Linked DNA regions of Oryzias latipes. The protein of the gene in region 1 interacts with the protein of each later gene in a pairwise test. Links are inferred from orthologs where the notes say so. Each region holds a gene or a part of one and is shown on either strand. Other genes may lie near its edges. The genes, in order: mid2, bysl and leng1.

What was found.
Region 2: the proteins of mid2 (region 1) and bysl interact in binary tests that used the Homo sapiens proteins (3 or more experiments, as listed by UniProt). The two-hybrid records come from large-scale screens. The link is inferred for Oryzias latipes from reciprocal best matches to the Homo sapiens genes MID2 and BYSL.
Region 3: the proteins of mid2 (region 1) and leng1 interact in binary tests that used the Homo sapiens proteins (3 or more experiments, as listed by UniProt). The two-hybrid records come from large-scale screens. The link is inferred for Oryzias latipes from reciprocal best matches to the Homo sapiens genes MID2 and LENG1.

What each region holds. Positions count from the first base shown.
Region 1 is NC_019868.2:12,745,759-12,749,413, reverse strand, and holds part of mid2 (probable E3 ubiquitin-protein ligase MID2), read left to right. Parts: intron 1-988; 5' UTR 989-1,044; coding exon 1,045-1,866; intron 1,867-3,655. UniProt on the Homo sapiens protein: E3 ubiquitin ligase that plays a role in microtubule stabilization. Mediates the 'Lys-48'-linked polyubiquitination of LRRK2 to drive its localization to microtubules and its proteasomal degradation in neurons.
Region 2 is NC_019863.2:2,266,050-2,269,584, reverse strand, and holds the end of bysl (bystin), read left to right. Parts: intron 1-2,165; coding exon 2,166-2,268; intron 2,269-2,382; coding exon 2,383-2,737; 3' UTR 2,738-2,981; downstream 2,982-3,535. UniProt on the Homo sapiens protein: Required for processing of 20S pre-rRNA precursor and biogenesis of 40S ribosomal subunits. May be required for trophinin-dependent regulation of cell adhesion during implantation of human embryos.
Region 3 is NC_019874.2:19,390,966-19,394,720, forward strand, and holds the start of leng1 (leukocyte receptor cluster member 1), read right to left. Parts: upstream 2,200-3,755; 5' UTR 1,861-2,199; coding exon 1,729-1,860; intron 1,389-1,728; coding exon 1,212-1,388; intron 135-1,211; coding exon 1-134. Other genes in the region: tmc4 (transmembrane channel-like protein 4), read right to left, coding at 2,883-2,936, 3,057-3,135, 3,257-3,412, 3,573-3,703.

The DNA.
Region 1 (3,655 bases):
TTCTTTATTAATCTTTTGTCAATTCTATCTGCTGACCTTGTTGGTTCACTTACTTATTTTCCTAAAACTATGCAATAAACTGCATGTGAAGAAGGGGACTTGTGTTGGTAAAATCTTAAAGATAACATACCTTCATCAAATAAACCATTTCCACAGCAATCATGTATCATTTGGAAAGTTCATATGTATTCTAAGCGGAAGAAGATAGATGGATATGTATTGAAGGCTGATCTTTACTGCTCATCTCTGTAATCCCCCATTACAATATGTTCCAAGGAAATCCCAACAGGAATAAGGTAAACACCCTTTAGTTATCACACACCTTGGTGTGTGAAATTTATTCTCCACCTTTGACCCATGCTCTTGGGGAGCAGTAAGTTTCAGACACAGACGTGCTTTAGAACATTTTAGGTGTTTAACTCACCAATCCAAAACTTCAATGCTGAGACATTGGGTTTTGATTTTTAGTCTTTGGTATGACTCAACTGAGGATTTGAACCCACAGACTTCTAGGCTCAGGTGAACACTCTCCCACAAGGCCGCTAAGTTGCCAAAACGATCAAAGTCTCAAAATATTGAAGGGATTGTTTTATAATGGATTTGCTGAATTAAAGTGTTATCCACGATTCCTTGCACAGAAAAACAGCAGGGCAGGAAAGACTATAGATTTTGAATGGTACAGTTTAGGCGCAAATAGATTTATTTGTGTTTTCTTCAGTTACTTATAAATTTAGAACATTGTATTTTCATTGTTGTATAAAACAGGAAGTTTTACTTACACTATTTATCAATAAAAGTGAAAAGAAAAACCAACAACACCTGCAGCGTTTTAATTTTTTCTTTGTTTTCAACAAAATATTCTATATTTGGTTCAAGTAAAATAAATCAGAAATAAATCTTAAATTCCTTTTTGACACTTCTTTATGAATAAATGCCTCAGAAGATCCTTCTCAGTAAGCCTTTATTTTGTTTTCTCTCTTCCCCTCAGGTACTTGGCCAGCTTCCGTGGGATTTGATGTCTTCTTTAGATTGGTTTAATTGAAGATGGAAACACTGGAGTCTGAGCTGACTTGCCCGATCTGCCTGGAGTTATTTGAAGATCCTTTGCTCTTGCCTTGTGCCCACAGCCTGTGCTTCAACTGCGCTCACCGCATCCTGGTGTCTCACTGCTCCACCACCAAACCCTTGGAATCCATCTCGGCCTTTCAGTGCCCCACCTGTCGCTACGTCATCACGCTGAATCACCGTGGCTTAGAAGGCCTGAAGCGCAATGTGACGCTGCAGAACATCATTGACCGCTTCCAAAAGGCCTCCCTGAGTGGACCCAACTCCCCCACAGAGAGCCGGCGCCTGCAGCCGCAGCGGCCCTACACCGCCACCATTAGCGGTACAATAGCCGGGACGATCGGCGGAGGTGGTGGCACAGGCGGAGGAAGTGCCCGCAGCAGCCCAGCCACCTCCAGCCATTCGCACCCGCACTCCAACCACACCAATCACATCAACCACAACAACGCAAACCACAGCCCGGCCATCGTTGTGAAGATGGAGCCACGGATCAGCTGCCAGTTCTGTGAGCAGGATCCGCCGCGCGAGGCCGTCAAGACGTGCGTTACATGTGAGGTGTCGTACTGTGACCGCTGTCTGCGCGCAACACACCCCAACAAGAAACCCTTCACCAGCCACCGCCTGGTGGAGCCAGTGCCCGACACCCACCTCCGCGGCCTGACCTGCCTGGAGCACGAGAACGAGAAGGTCAACATGTACTGCTTGGTGGACGACCAGCTCATATGTTCCCTCTGCAAGTTGGTGGGGCGCCACAGGGAGCACCAGGTGTCCTCGCTCACAGACCGCTTTGACAAACTAAAGGTTGGTGCTTTGATTTAGTTTACCTGTTAACACATAATTAGATAGTCTTACATTTAATTTAAGTCATAAAACTTACATGAAAAACAAGGATAATAAGGATTTATATAAAAAAAAAAACGTGCCATGTTTGTATACCTATCTGTACATGTTTGTCTTATTGACTCTCAAATTTAAGACCCACCGAGGTTAATTCATAAACACCAGTTCTTTTGGTTAGCAAGAACTACAGAAAGGCTGATCCTGAACACAAAAAAGAGACAATTAGTGTGGTTTACTAGTGAGAAGGGGCGAAGGGAGATGGAGGCCAAAAGAGAGGGCCGTCATTATAATAGTCGATGAGCTGGCATTCCCTGTGGACACTGAGCTTTCACAAGCTCGGCGTTAAAACTGAGACTGCTGAATCAGGGTGAAAAACAACAGAGGAAGGCCGCCGCCAGTGCTAACTCCACCAAAAAAGAAAAAAAAATTGCTCAAAGCAGTTCTGTTGGCTGGCTTTAAAACTTTTAGTGTGTTTTGGGCACTGAATGTGAATCAGTTGATTATTATTTTGCCTCTGTGCTATTTAAAGGAAAGTTAGACAGAAAAAGAGGAAGGAAAAAGCAAAACATTTTAACACAGATTTTAGGTTTCAAATGAAAAATGAACATAATTTAAAATGCTGTAATAAGTAGCTGTGCGTGCTTCCTCTGCTGTAGGGCTGTTCAAATGTGTGGAGACATGCCAGTTGGAGGATCAGAACTCGTGCAATAATTTCCAAAGTATGTGTGCTGGAGGTTAAGGCTTGATGAGAAGATAGGACAAGTAGATATTGAAATGTGCTGAACTGGATACATTATTCTTCAAAATGAACCAAAACAAAAAGTCAAAAACAGGAAGAGGAAAGGTTACATTAAAAAATGTACTTGTTTATTGTTATACAGGTACAGTTAAACCCTGAAAGACCCACTCTGATCATCTTCTGATCTATTTTTAAAGTGTTCCCAGTGGTCTTTTAATTATAATTATTGCTCTTTTTAGCCATATTCTCTGCAGATCAGCAGGAGTTCATTCAAAATTTGTTGTTCAGTTGTGGACCGGAGTCTTGTTGCGGAGCAACCACGCCCCCCATTCACCTCGGTATTTTTCTGATAATGGACATATGTGAAGAAAATTAAGTTTAACATGTAATTTCTGAGTATTTCTTTATTTAAAACATTGTGAATCTGGTGCAGATGAGCGTAGAAAATATGCTTGCTGGACCACAAGCTCCGTCCCATTCAGTTGCATCCTTTGTAATCTAGTGGGACGTAAACAGAGAGTTCTCAACAATAGTGACCAAAAGAACATGTTAAAAACACCAAACATACAATTTTTATTGGAGTGGGTCTTTAAGATGTTCCTTATTAATTGAGATATCCTTTTTCCACCATTTCACTAAAGCACAATTGTGCTTTAACAGTCACTGTAAAGTGCAAAAGTGTAGGTGTGAGAGTTGTGTTAGCTGCGTGTCAATTTTGCATTGTTCGTGGTCCCTGTGCAGCACAAAGGAATCAATCTCATCAGGTCTTGGAGGTAAAACACAGCAGTAATGTTCTCAGCGGCTCGGGAAAATCCTTTTCATCTCGGTGTAAATGCACTCCCACATTCTGTATTATTGATGATTTGTGTTATGAAAACTGTGGCTGTCGCCCGCAGTTTTGCTGCACGGTGTCAGCGAAAATGTTCCTGCTCAACACCTCTCGCTGAGTGAACTCACATCAGAGGAGGCTTTATTTTCAGAAGTGTGAGCGACCCTATTCCCTCCAGCCTG
Region 2 (3,535 bases), on another chromosome or scaffold:
AATACCTACAACTTTATTATATAAAGATATTCTATCCCTTAATGCTGTTGCTGTTCATGTTTAAAAAGGGTTTCAGTTTAAGAAGACCATTGTTCCAAACCAAACTATGACCTACTTTAAAACATAACATCCCCTCCAAGTGTCACCACTAGGTGGCAGTGCTTCTCTCCAGTGCAGCAACATCATCTTTTGTCTTTAATACCTAAGCTTCCATAACCATTGATACAAGTATTATCCTCTCAAGATGAGTAATGATAATTAAAGCTTTAATCATAATATAAAACAGAACTGTATTTATATTTATTAGCAGTAGCAGATACTTCCTACTGAGCTAAACTATCTCTGACCTCAGAGTCACACATTACCTGGACAGGTGCGTGTGTGGGGGGGCAAACTACTAAAACATTATAAAGTTACATTTACAATAGAGAAAAATGAAATTAAATGAGTGCAAACGAAACACAGATAAGTTTAATAAGCGACTATTGAAGGCCCGTATTTGTGACGTATCTGGACGTCTTTTTTCTAATGTCTTGGTGCAAAAAGGGAGAGGATCTTATGGAGATTAAACTGGTATTCTATCCATTTGCTTCCACTTATTAGTTTTCTGCTGTAGACTATGTTGAACAATTTTTTAGGGTTGTGGAGCAATTTTTTTTTATCATACATTCATACCTGATAAGGGTAACAAAACTAATAATATTTTATGCTAAAAAGTTTTTTTTTTTTATCCTTTGTGCTGTCTGGTGGGGTCCAGATGACCCCACTCCCAACATTAACGTGCCTTGGAGGCACGTAGTTTGTCTCTTGGAGGCAGTGCTCTGAACCTTTTTTCTTCAATGATTTGTGATCTTCACTGGTGTCCATGGATTACATGAAATCTTTCACCTTTATCCACCTTTGTCATGGTAGGGAGAACACGTCAATGTAAGGGTGGGGGTCATCTGGACCCCACAAGATAGCACATGGGCTAAATGTTTATTATTTAGAATTAGAAATGGTTCTTTTTGGAGGCTTTTAGCCACATCATTAATGCTACTTGTGTAATTGACGAAATGTTTGGTCTAAGTCACACGTGTCAAACTCAAGGCCCGCGGGGCAAAATTCTATGTGGCCTGCGAGAGCATAAAGGTTTTTAATTTCTTAAAATAAAAATTGGTGTGTATTTATTCATATCTAGGGGGAATCGGACTTGAAATATCAGATTGGGCAACTATACATTAGGACTTAAACACTGTCCATATAACCTAACCTGACAGAATCAAATGTAAAAGGATTTATGCTAAAGTAAGAAGAAAACATATGTTTCTATGCAACTGTAATTGTCACTTTAAAAAGTTATAATAAATAAACAAATGAGTAATCTAACATTAAGGAGTAGTTACATTTATTTTTCTTTACATTAAGTTACATGTATAAGTTATATCTGGCCCTTTGAGGACAACCACTATGCTGATGTGGCCCTCAATGTAAATGAGTTTGACCCCCCTGGTCTAAGTGAACACCTAAAACTTTCAATCTTCTCTACATTGCGTGATGTATATATATTAAGAACACCTTTCAAGTTGTTAGCTTTAGTAAACAACATTCAAGCTGTTTTTAGATGGGTAAGCAGAAAGATTTGTCACCGTTTTAGAAACCGTTTAAAGTGTTTCCATAATGTAGGCCAGCTCGTTCCTGGTCCTCGGGATCTACCACCCTGACTGTTTCCCAGATCTCCAAGCTCTCCTGGGTCCTGATTAGCTCAGTCAGATATCTCCACATAATGATTGAATGAACACACCTGTTCCATCCAGGTGATCAGCAGGAAGGATTGCAGGAAGAGCTGGAAAACAGGCAGGGTGGTAGATCTCCAGGACCAGGAATGAGCTGGCCGGCCCTAATGTATGTAAAAGACTGCATCGTCTGCATACAAGCTGAACGTTTGTCCTAAACAAAACTGCATTTAAGCATTTTACAAGAGTCTGAATGAAATGAACAATAAAACCTATCATGCAAATGTCTATAAAGCTGCCCACAAGCTAACAGTTGTCCAAAATGTAACATGTTAGACGAATTCAATAATTCATATAGAACCCGTTTATTTTTTATTTTTATGGAAATTTACCCTGTGGAGCATTTACTCCCTATGGTCTTCACCTGGTTTATTTTTTATTGTTAAACAGGTATACTGATTCCTCTGTGTGAATCTGGGACATGCACTCTCAGAGAAGCCATCATCATTGGCAGCATTCTCACAAAGTGTTCGATCCCTGTGCTGCATTCCAGGTGAGGCCTCTGCACCCTGATGTCCAGATGTTATTGTTTGATAAAACCAGCTTTGTAATACTTTCTACTGTGGCAAGCCCAACATTACATAAGAGGTTTGATTTTGCCTTTCAGCGCTGCAATGCTGAAGTTGGCAGAGATGGAGTATAACGGCGCCAACAGCATTTTCCTGCGTCTGCTGCTCGACAAGAAGTACGCCCTGCCTTTCCGTGTCCTGGATGCCTTGGTGGCCCACTTCCTGTCTTTCCGTAGTGAAAAACGTGTTCTTCCTGTGCTGTGGCATCAGAGTCTGCTCACCCTGGCACAGCGCTACAAGGCTGACCTGGCCTCTGAACAGAAAACGGCTCTGCTGGAGCTACTCAAGCTTCAAACACACCCTCCCATTTCTGCAGAAATTCGTAGGGAGTTACAAAACTCAGAGTCCAGGGACATTGAAATTGGGCTTCCTGTTACTGTAGAAATGCACTGATTCATGCTAGGAAAGTTGATCATTCTTCTCACATTTCTTTATGATTATAGATCTTCCAGTAAATCAAACTTCTTGTTGTAACACGGAGAGGGTTTCAAAACTCTGTGCCTCCCTAGAGAACGCCAGGAACAATATGAACCGGTTTGTGCCCATAACTGTCCTTACATCAGTTTAAGAGTTTGGTAAAATTTTTGTTTCTTTAAGGAAACTATTTGGAATAAAAATAAAAACCTAATTTGTAAAAGTTGATTTATTTCTTTACATCTTACATCATTCAGGGACACTAATTGAGGAGAAAACTGCTGATTAGCTGGAAACGAATCTACATTAATACTAAGGCTGTGTCTGAATTCCCACCCTAACCCCCAACTACTAAAAAATTATATAGTGCGGCACTATGTAGTGCCCTGAATTTTAAAGTAATTCGACACCATGCTGACTACTTTTTTATTTTTAAATAGCGAATATGAAATCATCGATTTCACAAAGTTAAAATCTTCTTAAAATTAGTGTTTTGCGATGATCATTTATGAGTCCACTGTCTTCAGAAGATAACGAAAACGTTGATTGTTTATTAAAAAACATACAATTTAATACATTTTTTTGGCAAAAATTGTTCCGACGCAATGCATTGTGGTCTATATTCGTTGATCTAGTGAGCATCGATGCACACTGGAATTTTGCAGAGACCTCTTGGAAATTTCTAGGGCACTGGATTTTGGAAATGTAGATTCGGGCAGCACTACAAAATGGCGAATGCATTATTTAGTGCACTATGTATTGGGTAGAGAAGGAATT
Region 3 (3,755 bases), on another chromosome or scaffold:
TCAATTATGCCCTTCCTCTTTTCCGATTCTTCTTCTTCTTTTTCTGCGCTGCTTTGCATGTACCATGGAGTCACCTCAGTGCCTGGTTGGGGGCCTAAAGAAACAAGCAGGCCGATGGCTCGCTCTTGCTTCTCCTGGACAAACCAGAGTAGCTATGATCAATATTTAAAATATTCCATTTCAAATAATTGTATTGGAGAATAAAAAAAACTGTAATAAACTCCATTGCCTTTTCATGCAAATTGTTCTTTGTGTCATTTTTCCTTCTCTAATAGATGACTGAACATTGTTGCATAAAAGTAGAATCAGAACTTCCTGGTAAAATAAAAATCCTGACAGAGTCTGATGAGATCCAGCTGCACGTTTTTGCCACTGTAGAATAAGAAACCACAGCAAACCAAGTGTATTAGGTGGGGAAAAGTGGATGTTTACCTTTTTAAATTAGCATTACTGATTTAAAAATCAACAAAAAGCTGCAGAGTGCTACTCATTTGCAACTTGTAGATGAGCAACCTGTTTTTTTTCTTTTGAGTACAGTGGTCCCTCGCTATATCTTTCACGCTCTCGCTGATTTTTTTCATATTTCTTTTCATTGATTTCTTTTAACAGCTCAATTTGTTCTGCATCCTGATTGGTAGTAGACTTTGTCAAGTACTTTCCTCCAAGCGGTGTCTCCTGTACAGAATGCGTTTAGCTTGCCAAATATCTAAATCTTCAACCACAAACAGATTTTTTTGTTTTATTCTATAATACATGACTTATTTTACTACAAATGTTTGAACTTTAAGAGTTTAAACATGAAACAAAGTTCCGTTTTACAGCCTTAAAACATCTCGAATTCTACTTTGTGGATTTCACCTGATGTGGGTTATTTTTAGAAGATAACTCCCGTGATAAACAAGGGAAAACTAACTGTCAAGCAAATGCAGTCTGGTTGTTAAAAGTGTTCATTCTTTGAATGCAGAATTAGAATGAGAGTTTCAAACATGAAAAACACAATAGTTATAGTATTTTATGCACACAAACAAAAATAGATGTTAATCTGTGCTGGATCAGACAATCAATTTCCTGGGATTTGTACACCATTCCTCTCCTACAACAAATGAAAAGAAAAAATCCATAAAATGGACTTCCTAAATTATTTTTAGTGAGTGTTTACTCAGATAAACCTGTAATTTTCAGAATATAAACAGAAGTAGCAGCACAATCACCGTTTCCTCCTTCTTCTCTTTGAGATACTCTTCATTCCCCTTCTTATCTGAAGACTCCTCCAAAGGAAAAAGATTGAGATGCTCCACATGTCCTCCGCTTTGACTCCCATCATCTCCTGTGCTTTCCACTGATTGGAGACCAGCTCGGGCCTTTCTTCTCAGATATTCTGTTCGCGCCTGTGGAAACAAACCATGACAATTTTTGCATGTTATGAAGTTTGAATCTATTTCAGATTATCAACACAATAAAAAATAAACATCAGCTCCATATTAGCGATGGAACAACACACTTTCTTAATGATAGTGTTCAAACCTCAATTTTGTATATGATTTGTGAATAACAACCCCCCAAAAGGAAAGGAAAAAAATACATATAATCTACTCAGTTGCAGAGGTTTCCAACTCATTTTCAGCTCAGAACCAGCTAAACTGTCACGTGATCTGTTAACGTATACTCTGCCAGCACGAAACACAGACAGATGTAAACACAAAAAACGAACGGTAAAACTGAACATACTTCTTGCTCCGCGCGCTCCACGCGGCGTTTAGCCTCGCGCTCCTCTTCTGCAGCCTGGGCTTCGTCCCTTCGCACGCGCGCTACATTGTCTTTATTGCGGACATGCCAGCTTTTCTTCGGAAGGATATTCATGATGGTGTTACTGTTAGCAGTTAGCTAACTCAAAATTTAGAGGAAGAACAGACCCGAGCCTTTGATCTACAACAATATGGAACGCGAATCAGCCAGGTGACTGAGTCTGATATGATTAGTAAAGCAGAAATTAGCAAAAAATCTGCGCAATTGTCTAGATTTTAAAACATTAGCTTACATTTTTTCTACATTAAGTTAGCATTCATGACGGCAAACCTGGCTCGTTAAAAGCACAGTATTATTTTTTTTAATATCCTAAGGTCTAACAACAAACAAATCTGTCCGACTTTTTGGAGAGTTCATCTATTCCAGGTTTGCTGTGGTCCACCGGAAGTAGTAGACCCAAACAGGAAGTAAACAAAAAAAGTTACAACTCTTGAAGCAATTACAAAGAAGAATCGTTAGATGGAGCTGGAGCGAGCGCCAACTGGTTTATTCAAAAGAAATAAATGTAATGGTCATAAGCGAGCAAGACTAAACTTTAAAAAGCAATAAAAAAAAAAAAAAACAACAGCAAACGAAGGACTTCTCATTAAAAAAATACAAATAAATCACAACATTTAAAGAAAAGAATATAAAAAGTTTGAATACATACCGTAGTCTCAAAAGGGTCAAAAATAAACAATTATTTTTGGTTGCTCTCGTCTTAACAAAAACACTGTCCAACTGTCTTGTTTTTTTAAAACAGTATTAGAGGTTCAATTTTTTTACATGCATTTCTTTGCAAAGTCTATATCCAAAAATGATCAAAACACCTGTTTAAATGATCACTTTTAAAGTGCTTAAAGAACAGTGATGTTTAATGTGCAACATTTTTAACATTTTATTTTGAAAGAATCTGGTGTAATTTCACTATGTATATATAATATGAAGCTTTTTTTTTCTTTTTAATAAACATCCTTTCTTTATGACATCGTCTCATGTTACTGTACTGCAGAGACTAAACATTGTCCAGAGGCTGTTTAGTCTTGTAGTGGTAGATACAGTATATATATGTATCTATCAAATGGTATCTTGGTCATCTACCGACTTAGTTCCTCAATCTGCTTGACTAAGAACTGCTTATCCCGGCTCTCCTGTAAAAACAAAAAAGACCAGACCCTGTATTAGTTAAAGTAAAAAAGGAAATATTGAAAAAAATCTTTGTTAACTCATGGCCAATTCTTAGTATACTGCTTTAGATACCATCAACTTACCCGTTTGAGCTGCAGTCTTAGCAGTCCAACACTTTTCCCATAGATGGAGAACAAAGCTATGACGTAGCACATCACCAAACTATGACGGAGAAACAAGTCAGCTGGTAAAGAATCAACTGGCATTCAAAGAAAAATATCATCTATATCTGCACAGTGCAAGACAGTTCAATGATTTTCATGTAAAATGAAAATGGATTTACCCCGATAATGAAAACAGGGGGATTGTAAACGCCTGTGAGCCAATGAAGAAAAGAAACTCTTGTGTGGCTGCAGAGAGGTTGTAGAAAGATGTCGGTATAATCAACCACATGTTGTCAGAGAACCGGAAAGGCCCACATCCCCGAGAAGGATGGATCCTGTATGGACAGACACGGAACGTCACTCAGACATAATTTCATAAATCTCTACAAAGCCATCGCCTTTTTTGTATTGCGACAAATTGGCCAAATTTTGACTTTCTGACCAGTAGGAAAAATAATTGTATTATTTATGTTACCAAGAAACATCCACACTCACACAGCAATGCTGTAAATCATGACAACTGAGGCCAGCATCCAGCCTAAGAGCAGTACCACCAGGAAAAAGAAGGCTGAGGTGGTGGAGCGAAACGTTTTTTGGGGTGGCCGACAGTTGGAGAACAGTGTTATCTGTTTAGGAAAGTGGCAATAGAAACAAGTAGATTATCAAAAAGGAATGAGT